Mus musculus: one gene and its partner. The protein of the gene in region 2 purifies or fractionates together with the protein of the main gene of each other region. This does not show direct contact. Links are inferred from orthologs where the notes say so. Each region holds a gene or a part of one and is shown on either strand. Other genes may lie near its edges.

The links. The genes of interacting proteins can lie anywhere in the genome.
Region 1: the proteins of Trim33 (region 2) and Smad4 purify together in Homo sapiens (affinity purification with western blotting; 7 studies listed by BioGRID and IntAct, with this or other methods). This does not show direct contact. The link is inferred for Mus musculus from reciprocal best matches to the Homo sapiens genes TRIM33 and SMAD4.

Annotation. Positions count from the first base shown.
Region 1 is NC_000084.6:73,700,242-73,705,788, forward strand, and holds the start of Smad4 (mothers against decapentaplegic homolog 4), read right to left. Parts: upstream 3,551-5,547; 5' UTR 3,189-3,550; intron 1-3,188. UniProt on the Homo sapiens protein: In muscle physiology, plays a central role in the balance between atrophy and hypertrophy. When recruited by MSTN, promotes atrophy response via phosphorylated SMAD2/4.
Region 2 is NC_000069.6:103,351,366-103,356,221, reverse strand, and holds part of Trim33 (E3 ubiquitin-protein ligase TRIM33), read right to left. Parts: intron 4,220-4,856; coding exon 4,067-4,219; intron 2,656-4,066; coding exon 2,605-2,655; intron 2,526-2,604; coding exon 2,313-2,525; 3' UTR 1-2,312. UniProt on the Homo sapiens protein: Acts as an E3 ubiquitin-protein ligase. Promotes SMAD4 ubiquitination, nuclear exclusion and degradation via the ubiquitin proteasome pathway. According to PubMed:16751102, does not promote a decrease in the level of endogenous SMAD4.

The sequences.
Region 1 (5,547 bases), on a different chromosome or scaffold from region 2:
AAAATACATAAATAAAAATCAACCCCATATGATAAGTTTTTTAAACTAGGAAAACAACTCTTATCTAAAATATGAATAAAAAGCAGTTGTGTTGTGAAGACAATCAACATCAAACTGACTGATACAAACACAGTTGTCTCTAGTGTGTCTGACCGGTGGACCTTAGCAACCTCAGCACCTGAGCACAGCAGTGTAGTTTTACATAAGCACGTACCATACTTGTTCGTCCTTAGCTATCCTAGTCGTCAATTTCATATTCCAAATACATTTTCCTGGATGCCAGCTACATCATGTAGTAGTGTCAAGGTGACACAATCTAAAATATCTTGTTTCTGAGAAGCTGGTATTCAGCCAAATTTTCCATTACCAAAATTACACATTTTAAAATAAAGGGAAAAAAAATCCAACAACTCTAAATGTGCCTCATTAGCATGAGCTGAGGATATTACAGTATCATAACAGAAGTAGCTCATATGCATGCTATCTATACATATTTATCAGTTATCTGAATGTCTACCTTAAGTGAATCTTAATCAGCAGATGGGGGAAAGAACTAAGTAATCTGAGAAAGCGGTACTAAATGTGACATCCGCTCTAACTTCAGCTTCCACTTAGCACAGAAACAATGACAGCCTTTAGTCGGGTTAGCTGTATACCTGACTGAGGACCACCTGAGTCAGTCCTCCTCACGGCTTTAACCCAGCACAGTGGAGGGCCGGGGTATCCAACCACAAGGAAGCACTGAGAAAGCTATTACAAGATGCTTATAAAGAGACACTCATTCTGGGTGAATCAAAAATGAAAAGAAAAACAAAAACCTAGGCATCAACTAGATGGGGGACAAAATAGAACTGAAGTAGGTAATATTTCATCAAAAACAAAAAAGAAAAAAAAAAGGATTGTGCTCTCATCTAGAGATCAAATTTTAAAGAAGCCCAAATATGCACTTTAGATTTAACCAACTCTGCAGACTCTGCAGGGTTAACTGCCCTGGTACAGGCCCCAGCTATGCACAGCTCAATTAGAATAGTGTGTGCCAATGTTACTATAACTCTGGCTCAGTTAGAAAAATAAAAAAACAGGTTCTAACGGGGGGGGGGGGGGGGGGGGATCCTGCATAAAGTATTTTACTATTCCACCATTAATACGGCCCCTCCCCCGTGTGTGTGAAGCAGAGAATCCAGAGACAAAACTCACCAACAGAAACACTTGAATTAACATGTAGCATACATGAAAATGACCTTAAAGAAAGAGCAAGATCTGTACAACTCATATAATCAGAACTATTTCAAGAGCAAAACCATCAGGGAAGTTCAGGTCCATATAAAACACACGCCAAATCACTGCACTGACTTGTTTAGCACAAATTTTCCTTAATTCTGTAAACACAATTTTAATTCTTCCCAACTTAAGATTTACAGTGGAAGCATTTAGTCCAAAAGTGTCAACTACATCTTCAAAAACAAAAATATGTAATACCCCTTTAATGCATACTCACTCAAAAGCCTAGAAAGCAAAAAAAAAAAAAAAAAAAAAAAAGCCACCTGTCTTAAGACAGTGACAAAAAACTAAAAACCTTTATGTCAATTCTCTTTGGAAAGGATTTGTTTTAATTCCGGCAATTGAAGCCTACATAATTCATCACATCAGAAGCTGCTTCAGGCTATGGGTATTAGTCTGCCTCGGTGCATGTTTGTAACCAGGTCACTGAAGAAAACACACTCCTGAGCCTATGAGCACCGTGTCGCAATTTTGTATCCCAGCTCCGGAGAAGCTGAGAGACACGGATGGTCAGGAGTTGAAGAGAGGAGCAGGAAGCCCTAGAGACTCATGACAGTACACTGAACAAAGCATTAGGGAGAAACTGTATTTTAAGAAATATTAAAGCAATCATTTACACTCTGAAATAACACGTACTAATCCTACCAGATAGATCCAAGAGATAGAGTCTACAGTAGGGAGAAGTTTACTTCTCTGAATAGCCTATGCTACATACATTTCAACTGCAAGCGCTTCATATCCTGAATGCAAGGTAAACCTGTAAAATCTGTAACAAAAACTATTCAAATGCGGTGCTTGAAATCTAATTGCTTTGTGGAATTTATAATAGATTTCTGTACATTCAGTTAAGATTCCACACGGTTTGTGTCAGCAGAAAGTCCTGAACCTGATTCTTAAAACGTTCAAAGTCTCAAGCTACTACTGAGAGGAAAAGGATGCTAAATCTGGCAAAATTCAACGATTGTTAAAAAATTAAGCGAGATTACAAGCCTGCAGAACACGAATTCAAGGTACTTAAAATAACTCCCTCTTTATCTCGTTACTTTATTTCTAAGTAAGTGACAATCCCACCTTAAGTTATCAGAAACTGAAGGCACTGATAAATTCTAAAATGAATTACCTGAAAACCAACTTTAAAAATTAAGTTTACTCCAGGTTTTGTGGGGTGGGGCAGTGGGGAGGAGCTATCAATAAACAGGGCTTTTTAAAACCTCTGGCAAAGGAACCTTTCAAGTTAACTAAACACGCCCTTGTCTTTGAAAATCTGGCTTGAGAAATCATAACAGCAGTTTGGGGTGCTGAAGCCAACGCCCTCCACCCTCCACCAATTTCACGCTCCGTGCATGTAGCCCTAACAATAAAATAAACTACGCCTTTTATTAGGAGACACGTTTTATTAGGGGAGGGTGGTTCAGTTTGGCGCTAAGAGTGTCTCCCGCACGCCGCCATCACCCACAATACCCAAAAAGTAAACAAATCAAAGCTACAAACGTAAACTCAGAGCACACAACCAGGAAGAGAAAGTGGGGACAAAGAGAAAACAAACACTTGCTGGGGGGTGGGGGAGGTGGGGAAGGCACGAGGACCCGACCCGGGGCACCCCGGGCATAACGCACTCGGGCCGGGCCGACGCGACGGCCCGGGCCGCGGCCAAACTCCTCCCGAACAACAAAGAGCGGCGGCACGGACGGGGACCGGCGACCGAGTTCCCGGGACGGCGGGCTCGCCTAACTGCGAGAGGAGTTGGGGCCCGGGAGCCACGCGCGGGCACGCGAAGCCCCGGACGCGCGGGGGCGACCCACCCGAGCCCCGCTGGGCCCACGCTCGCGCCGGTCGCCGCGGGAGCCCGCCCCGGGGCGGGGAAGCGCGGGCGCCGAGGCCCCGGTTAGGGGAGGACCGCGCGTTACCTGGGCTCCGCGCCGCACCGCGCCTCGCCTCGCTGTCGCTTCCCGGGCCCCGCCCGCGGCGTCCGGCCCAGGCGGCCCCCTCTCCCCGCCGCGCCGCGGACCGCGCCGGCCGGCCGGGCCGCTGGAGCTCCGGAGCCGCCCCGCTGCGGGGGGCCTCGCTCGCGGGCGCCGGCTCCGGTCACGCGCTCCCGCCCCGGGGACGGCCGCGGAGCGGAGCGCGGCGCGGGAAGGGCCTCCGGAGGACGGCGGGCGGGCGGGCGGACGGACGCGAACACGGGCTCCGCCACCCGAGCCGCTCCGTTACCGCAGCGGCGACGACGACCAGGGCCGTGTTGTTGCTGCCAACTTGTCGGAAGGACACTGAGCATGCGCGCGCGGAGACCACATCCGGGTAATTTCAGGGTTTGGCCCTTCCCTCCCCCGCTCCCCTCCCGCAGCGCTCCTTTCTCCCCGCTGCCCCCGCCTCCCGCCCAGAGCAGGGAGGGTCCCAGTGCGCAGGCGCCCGCGGGCAGCCCGGCGGCTCTGGCTGAGTTTGAGCAGCGAGCGAGCAACGGCGCCGGAGGGGAGTCGCCTTTTCGCAGGATGCCCTCTTCAGACACGGAGTGCGGTTCACAGAGTACCCAAGCAGCGTGGGACAGCTCGGGATGAGCGATGGGCAGGCCCGCCGGGTTGGGTTGGCTTTTGAAGACCTTGGTGGACACAGCTGGACCGAGTGCGGGTGTTTGTAGCAGTTTACTTCCGAGCGGATCTCTCACTCTGTCCCTTTCATCACACCGGCTCCAAAAGGTTGAGCTCGGAGGCGCGCGCGACAGTCAAGGAGTCACATTCCAGGGCCTAGCCCGAGGTGGCCAAACGTGAGCAGTTGGGAAAGAGGCGGGAATTTCGAGTTGGAGGCGACCTTCAAGACTTGCTTAAGTGTACACCTGCTAAATAGGTTGTGCAGGCTGGGATGTAAAGAAAGCTCAGTTTCAGAACTTCACACCTTACAAAACAAGTCAAAACTACCTCTCATTACTTAAGTGGTCCGCTATCTAAAACTTTCAGGGCAACGTAAAGGGACAGTTCAAAATTTGTTGTCCATATACAAAGCCCTGGGTCCATCCCACCACAAAAGTGGTGCATTTGGTGGCAAAAGGCCCGTCTTTGATTTTGACTTTGTACTTACTTTCTTGTATAATTTTATGAATATTGTACTTAGTAGCTAGAACACAAGCCTGCCGTATAGTCCCTGGCTTTAAATCACAGCCCATGCATGTAAATCTTAGCCCTTGGGAAGCAGAGACAGAAGGAGCTCCAGCCTGGTGGATTTACGTGGCAAATTTCAAACCAGGACTAAATAGACAGACCCTAACTTTAAATTTATTCAGACGTCTAGGAAACATGAATTATATGTTGTCTTTTTGTTTCCTTTTTCACCTTCCCTCGGGGTTCCTTCTAGTACAGCTGTTAGACCAAGTCATTTCTTAAGTCTGTTGGAGAAACTTTACAACACACACCAATGTGTAACACTGCCCCCCCAGGGTAAGCCAAAGGGACAATTCAAAAGTTGATGTCTGCAATGAGAAAATAAATCACTTAAATGAATCGATAGTAGAATTTCCTTCACAAATCCAATTCTTCATTGTCATCAAAATTGATAGGTGCAGTACAAATTGAGTTATATATAAAAAGAGAGAGAGAGAGAGATATGAAGTTAGGAAAAGGATATTCCAGTGGGGGAGTCCAGGAGCTGTTGTAAGAAAGCCTGGAGTGGATAAGATCTATATACAATGTATAGATACATGTATGACACTCTCAAAGGATACAACTTTAAAGATTGAAGGAAGATCTTTCAGCTGGCAGATCATTAAAACTGGTTGTAGATCAACTCATGACCCTTTGGATGCTCCTGAAAGAAGAATATTAAAACTAAGTTGTCTTACTATCTATCACTCAACTTCTATTCCATCTGTAACAGGTATTTATGACTGTATAGCACGGTACACTTTAGAAGGTTAAAGCAGTACACCTACTGTTCCTGCGGTGTCCAGGCACTGGTCCTCTACAGAAGCAAGACCCCCCCCCCCCCAGGAAAGAAGACTCATTCCCTCACACAGGTGTCGTCAGCATCCACTGCCCGGAGACCACAGGGCTGGAGGTCTCAGTCTCTTGCTGCCTGTCAGCTAGAGGTCCTCCCAGGGACTCTACAACAGTGGTTCTCGGTCTATGGGCCATGACCCCTTTGAGGGTCTACCCACCTTTCACAGGGGTCGCATATCAGATATTATGCACATTAGATATTTATATTAGATATTTATATTACAATTCATAACCTCAAAATTACAGTTATGAAATAGCAACAAAAGTAACTCTGTGATGG
Region 2 (4,856 bases):
AGTGTGCAAAAAGGGTTTAAAGTGACCATCTTGTTGATAGCAATTTATTCCTCAGCAGCAGGATACCTTTGCTAACAAAAACGGAGCTTCCTAAACACTTGTCAGAGAGAAACTTCTAAATTGATAGTGTTAAAGGGAAACAAAACAACAAGTAACATGAGAATGCCTTTATGGAACACACGCTCTCTCAGGGTTTCAAATATTGAGAAACATTTGCTTAACAATCTGTGTTTGCTCCACTTAACAGAGATTGTTTGTAATTTACTGCTAAGAAGTTTGTAAAGGACTCACATGAGAAGCAAATAAAAAACACCGGAACCCAGAAGTGTCAGGAAATGACGTCAAACCTCTGCGCCCCCACTTGCCAAAAATGTACCCTTAGATATTCATTTACTTACAAAGTCAAATCATGGAAATCAAAGAAAAGAAATAGATATAAATAAAACATTTTAAAAATAAATTTTCTTCCCCTCCTAAAAAACAAACTTGAAACTTCAATAAAATGATAAATGATTTGAAGGTTAATTTATAAGGGAAGCTAAATGGAAGCCAGGAGATGAGGTAATAACACGATCAAGCTCTTTTAAGTGCAGTATGAAAAGGCCTAAATACTCCTCCTCTTTACCCACATCCCTTAAGAAAAAACAACCCAAAGGAATCTGTGTAATAATTTCTTTAGAGCACTTTATTTGATTCAATGCACACTAAAAATATTCACTTCTTCGACATTTACGTCAAATAGCTTTCTGAGGAGGTCTACAGTCTGAACTCCTTACTTTGAACTTTTTGAGAGGCAAATGATTTGCCACACATCTGCTGACACCTGAAATGTTTCTGATGTTGAATTCTACTTTGGTCACTTTATATTCTACTGTGTCCATACAGAAGTAGGACTACAACTCTTAATCCAGCGGAGAGGCGCACACAGTCTAGAGCACACTTGATCTGAGCGTCACAACGCAGAGGAGGAAGATAAACCCGAGCGAGCACACCTGTCTGCTGCAGGTCGGCTCCTGCCGTCAGGTAGTAACAAGGTTGGGTTTGTTCCAATTACCATTCAAGTGGGGATTGGCTCGTTCTCAGGATTTACTTAAAGGTCTCTTCTAAGTCATTCAAAGCCCCCAGTCCATGCACGTGTCCCACTTGGTGGACAGATGAGTAATCTAACCCCACCGGGTTTATTTCAGTATTTTGATATTTCAATAATAAGCTGCTTCTGAAGATTTTTTGAGACGTCTGTTCTCTATTAAAATAAGATAGAACCTCAAAATATGAATGTGAACATTAGAAATAGACAGCATATATTACAAATCCATTCTTGGTAGGAACATTAGTAAGAATACACATTAGCTTAAAAAACAGGCTCAGCAAATGTTGCTGATCTGCCAGAAGTCTGAGCTCACTATTTACAAATAAGACAAAGTGAAATACAGAAAATTGTACACATTTGGTAGCTGACAGATTTCTGTTTACCAATAGTGGTCTACTGGAAACTGGTATGAAGAAGACTAGGTTAAAGTTGTCACCTTCTCAATCTAATTAACCTACACAGAAAATTCTGAAATAAATGTCCTGCTTTCAGGGGAATGACTAACTGCGTGATCAGATGATTTGACCAGTAAGTGTAATTGTTTGGAGGGTTTTCTGGAAATGACTTCCATAAATCTGTATGATCCACTACTAAAAGTTATCATCATTTTAGTACACCACCGAAGTTGACTAAACGATCAATGGTTATGTTCCTAGACCCTACATCTAAGAATAAAATAAAACTACTGCTGAGTTCTTTAAACCAACTTAAAAACTAAGGCCAAATAGATCAAAATGAGAGAAAATGCAGTGGCATGATTCAATGCATCTTTAGTGACATTCAAGTGGAATCTCATGTACTCACTTTTAACCAGAAAACAACCCATTTGTATCTGTGGAGGGGAAGGCTTTTAAGTTATCTTGAGTACCTGTGTGCTCCAGCAGAGACACATCTCGCAGGCTTGCCCAACTCAGTATCCTGCACCAATTATCAGACATGATCATCTACATTTCTAACAGCCAGAGAACCGTCTTCATTTGTAGCAAATCCCCAAATTTTTTCACTTCTAATTTTGTTCTTAAAGTTGCAAACAGAGTTCTCTCCCCTTTTCTTGACAAGAATGTTTTCTGTTTCCATTATTTCAATCTAATACTGTATGAAAGCTACCAGCTTCTGTAAGGAGGTAAAACCACTGTACACAGGATATTCCAGCAACACTTAAATAAAAGGGTGTTTTGTTTTGTTTCCTTCTTCTTAACAACCGATTTAAGTCCGAGTCATTTTACTTTATATGTACTGGTCTCTCGTCTGACTTTAGGCGTTTTCTACGAGGCTGTATAAAATCTTCGTCAGAGTCTTCTGTTACTTCACCATCATCTTCGTCCTGCTCAAACTCTGGCAAAGGAGTGAAGGTCCTGTCTGAGTAGATCTCTGAGAGTTTATCTTCAAAGTACAATGCAACTGCTTTCCCTGCCTTAGCTACTTCTGAATCACCCTGCAAACAAAAGATAAGAATATTCACCTATTGATAATGCATATTCCTTCACCAAGTTTGCATGGTCTGAAAAGCTTACCTTCAAATTAATCTCTTGTGTGTCTGCATAAACTTGAACAACTTTCATCATCTAAAAAGGATACCAGAGTCAAAAAAAAAAAAAGGGAAATTATAAACCTTTCTAAAGTTAAGAGACTGTATAGGATTGGTGACGAAAGTCAGCCATACTAGGGAGAACAAATTGCTAAAACCAGATTAAGTGCTACCTAAAATTCTACTAAACATGGAACAACTTTCCTTACAAAACTGTTAATAAAGTTACTTTGAAACCTTAGTAACAGTCTCACTCTACACTACTGAGGTCAGTCTTAGGAGAAACTTGTCTGAAGGCATCAATCTACTCAAGAGAAAATTAGAATGCTATTTTTAAAATGGTGAAACGTTCCACAAGATAATCAGAATTCTATCTTTATGGCAATACATTAATCACAAACTAACTTTTTGTTTCGTTTGGCTTGTTTTTTGAGACAGGGTCTTCCTATATAGATCTTGCTATCCTAGATCTACTCACTATATAGACCAGGCTAGCCTGGACTTCACAAACACTTGCCAGACTCTGCCTCCCAAGTGCTATTATTAAAGGTGTGCACCACTATGCCTGGCCCAAAAGTGAACTCTTGACAGGCAGAACGTATCTTTCTGTCATTGATAGTATACAATAGCATATTCATTTGAAAATAATCTAAATTTTTAAACAGACAAAAATTCTAACTTGTAATTTGAAGTAAGATTTTACAGATATATTCTGTGGCATACTGATATCAAGGTGACTACACTTTACAGCTCATGGAGAGTTTGGTTTGTGTATTACAGTGACACCTTGATGCCACTAGAGACTGCTATGAGTAGACCTGGATTCTCATCTAGTACCATTTTCTTCTCCTATAATGAAGACAATCTTCTATAACAATATAAACTTTGACGTTACTGAAAAGATAACAAAAAGAAATTTCCCTTATAGAGAGTATCTGTCACATTTTTTTCCTTCAGTTATAGGTAAGGCATCTTTAGCTTCAGAGTTCACAAAAACTCACTGTAGAAACCAAACCCTCACCATTACATATTGAGGCCTGCAGTTTAGTCTTAACACTCTTTTTGTGTATGGCCAGTGACAGAACTAAACAATATAGGCGCTGTTAAATTTCCTGTAAGTGACCCAATGTGGGAATACATAATCCTATCCCACCAAGTTACTTAACTTCAGACTGTTTTCCTATTGAACCACATCTCCCTTTGGAAAGGGTATTCAGTAATACTCTTAGTGTCTTGTACTTAGGAATATACTCCAAACTACACATAACAATCTTTCTTCTCTAGAGCTGAGGGGGGAAAAAAGCAAATTTCGCTTTTATAGAATAGAGAAAAGGGGGAGGGGGAGAAACAACCAAATTAGTTGGTTCTTTCAACAGGGGGTTAAAAAAAAAACAAACAAGCAGAAGAAAACTAATAGCCAATACTCTATAGGTTGGAAGCTAACATACTTCATTAAACCTTTCACAGTTCTTGAAGATCAAACGGACATCAGCCACAAAGTCATCTGGGATTTGGTAATGCTGGGAATGTTTTTTCTGAAGCTTCTTCTTCACCGTTGATAAATCCATCGGTTTCTTTATAATTTTATAGTAGTTTGGTATCTAAAAAATAAATCATGGCAGGTCAGAATTCCCCAAAATATCAAACTTTTGTTTTGGTTTGGTTTAGTTTTGGTTTTCCGAGACAGGGTTTCTCTGTGTAGCCCTGCCTACACAGAAATCCACCTGCCTCTGCCTCCCAAGTGCTGGGATTAAAGGCGTGTGCCACCACTGCCCGGCACAGCAATATCAAACTACTTAATGTGAAAATATACAGCATATTGATTACATATGATGCATAGCAAATATACTTTCAAGTTTTCTGTCTGAATCTATCTTGACTATCAGATCTTACTGCAGGATACATGCTGGTTCGAATGGTTACTCTAAGTTCCCAAGATCCTATCTTTAATAAAAATAAATGGGAAAAAAAACAACCAGCAGGAGAAGTTGCCTCCCAAAAGAACAGCCATATCTGGTTCATTTGGTATTTGATGAATCCTAGGAGAGCTCTTACAAAAAAAAAAAAAAAAAAAAAAAAGAATAAAAACTATTTGAAAGTCCATGAATGTTATGGGTAGAGCACAGTGTGGTGTCAAGGCTTCACAAGAATCTCAGAACACTGAAAGGAAAAGTTACATTTAGTATTCTGACTCCACCTTTGGCCAAAAGTTTTCTACCTGTGGGACATAAGTGCACA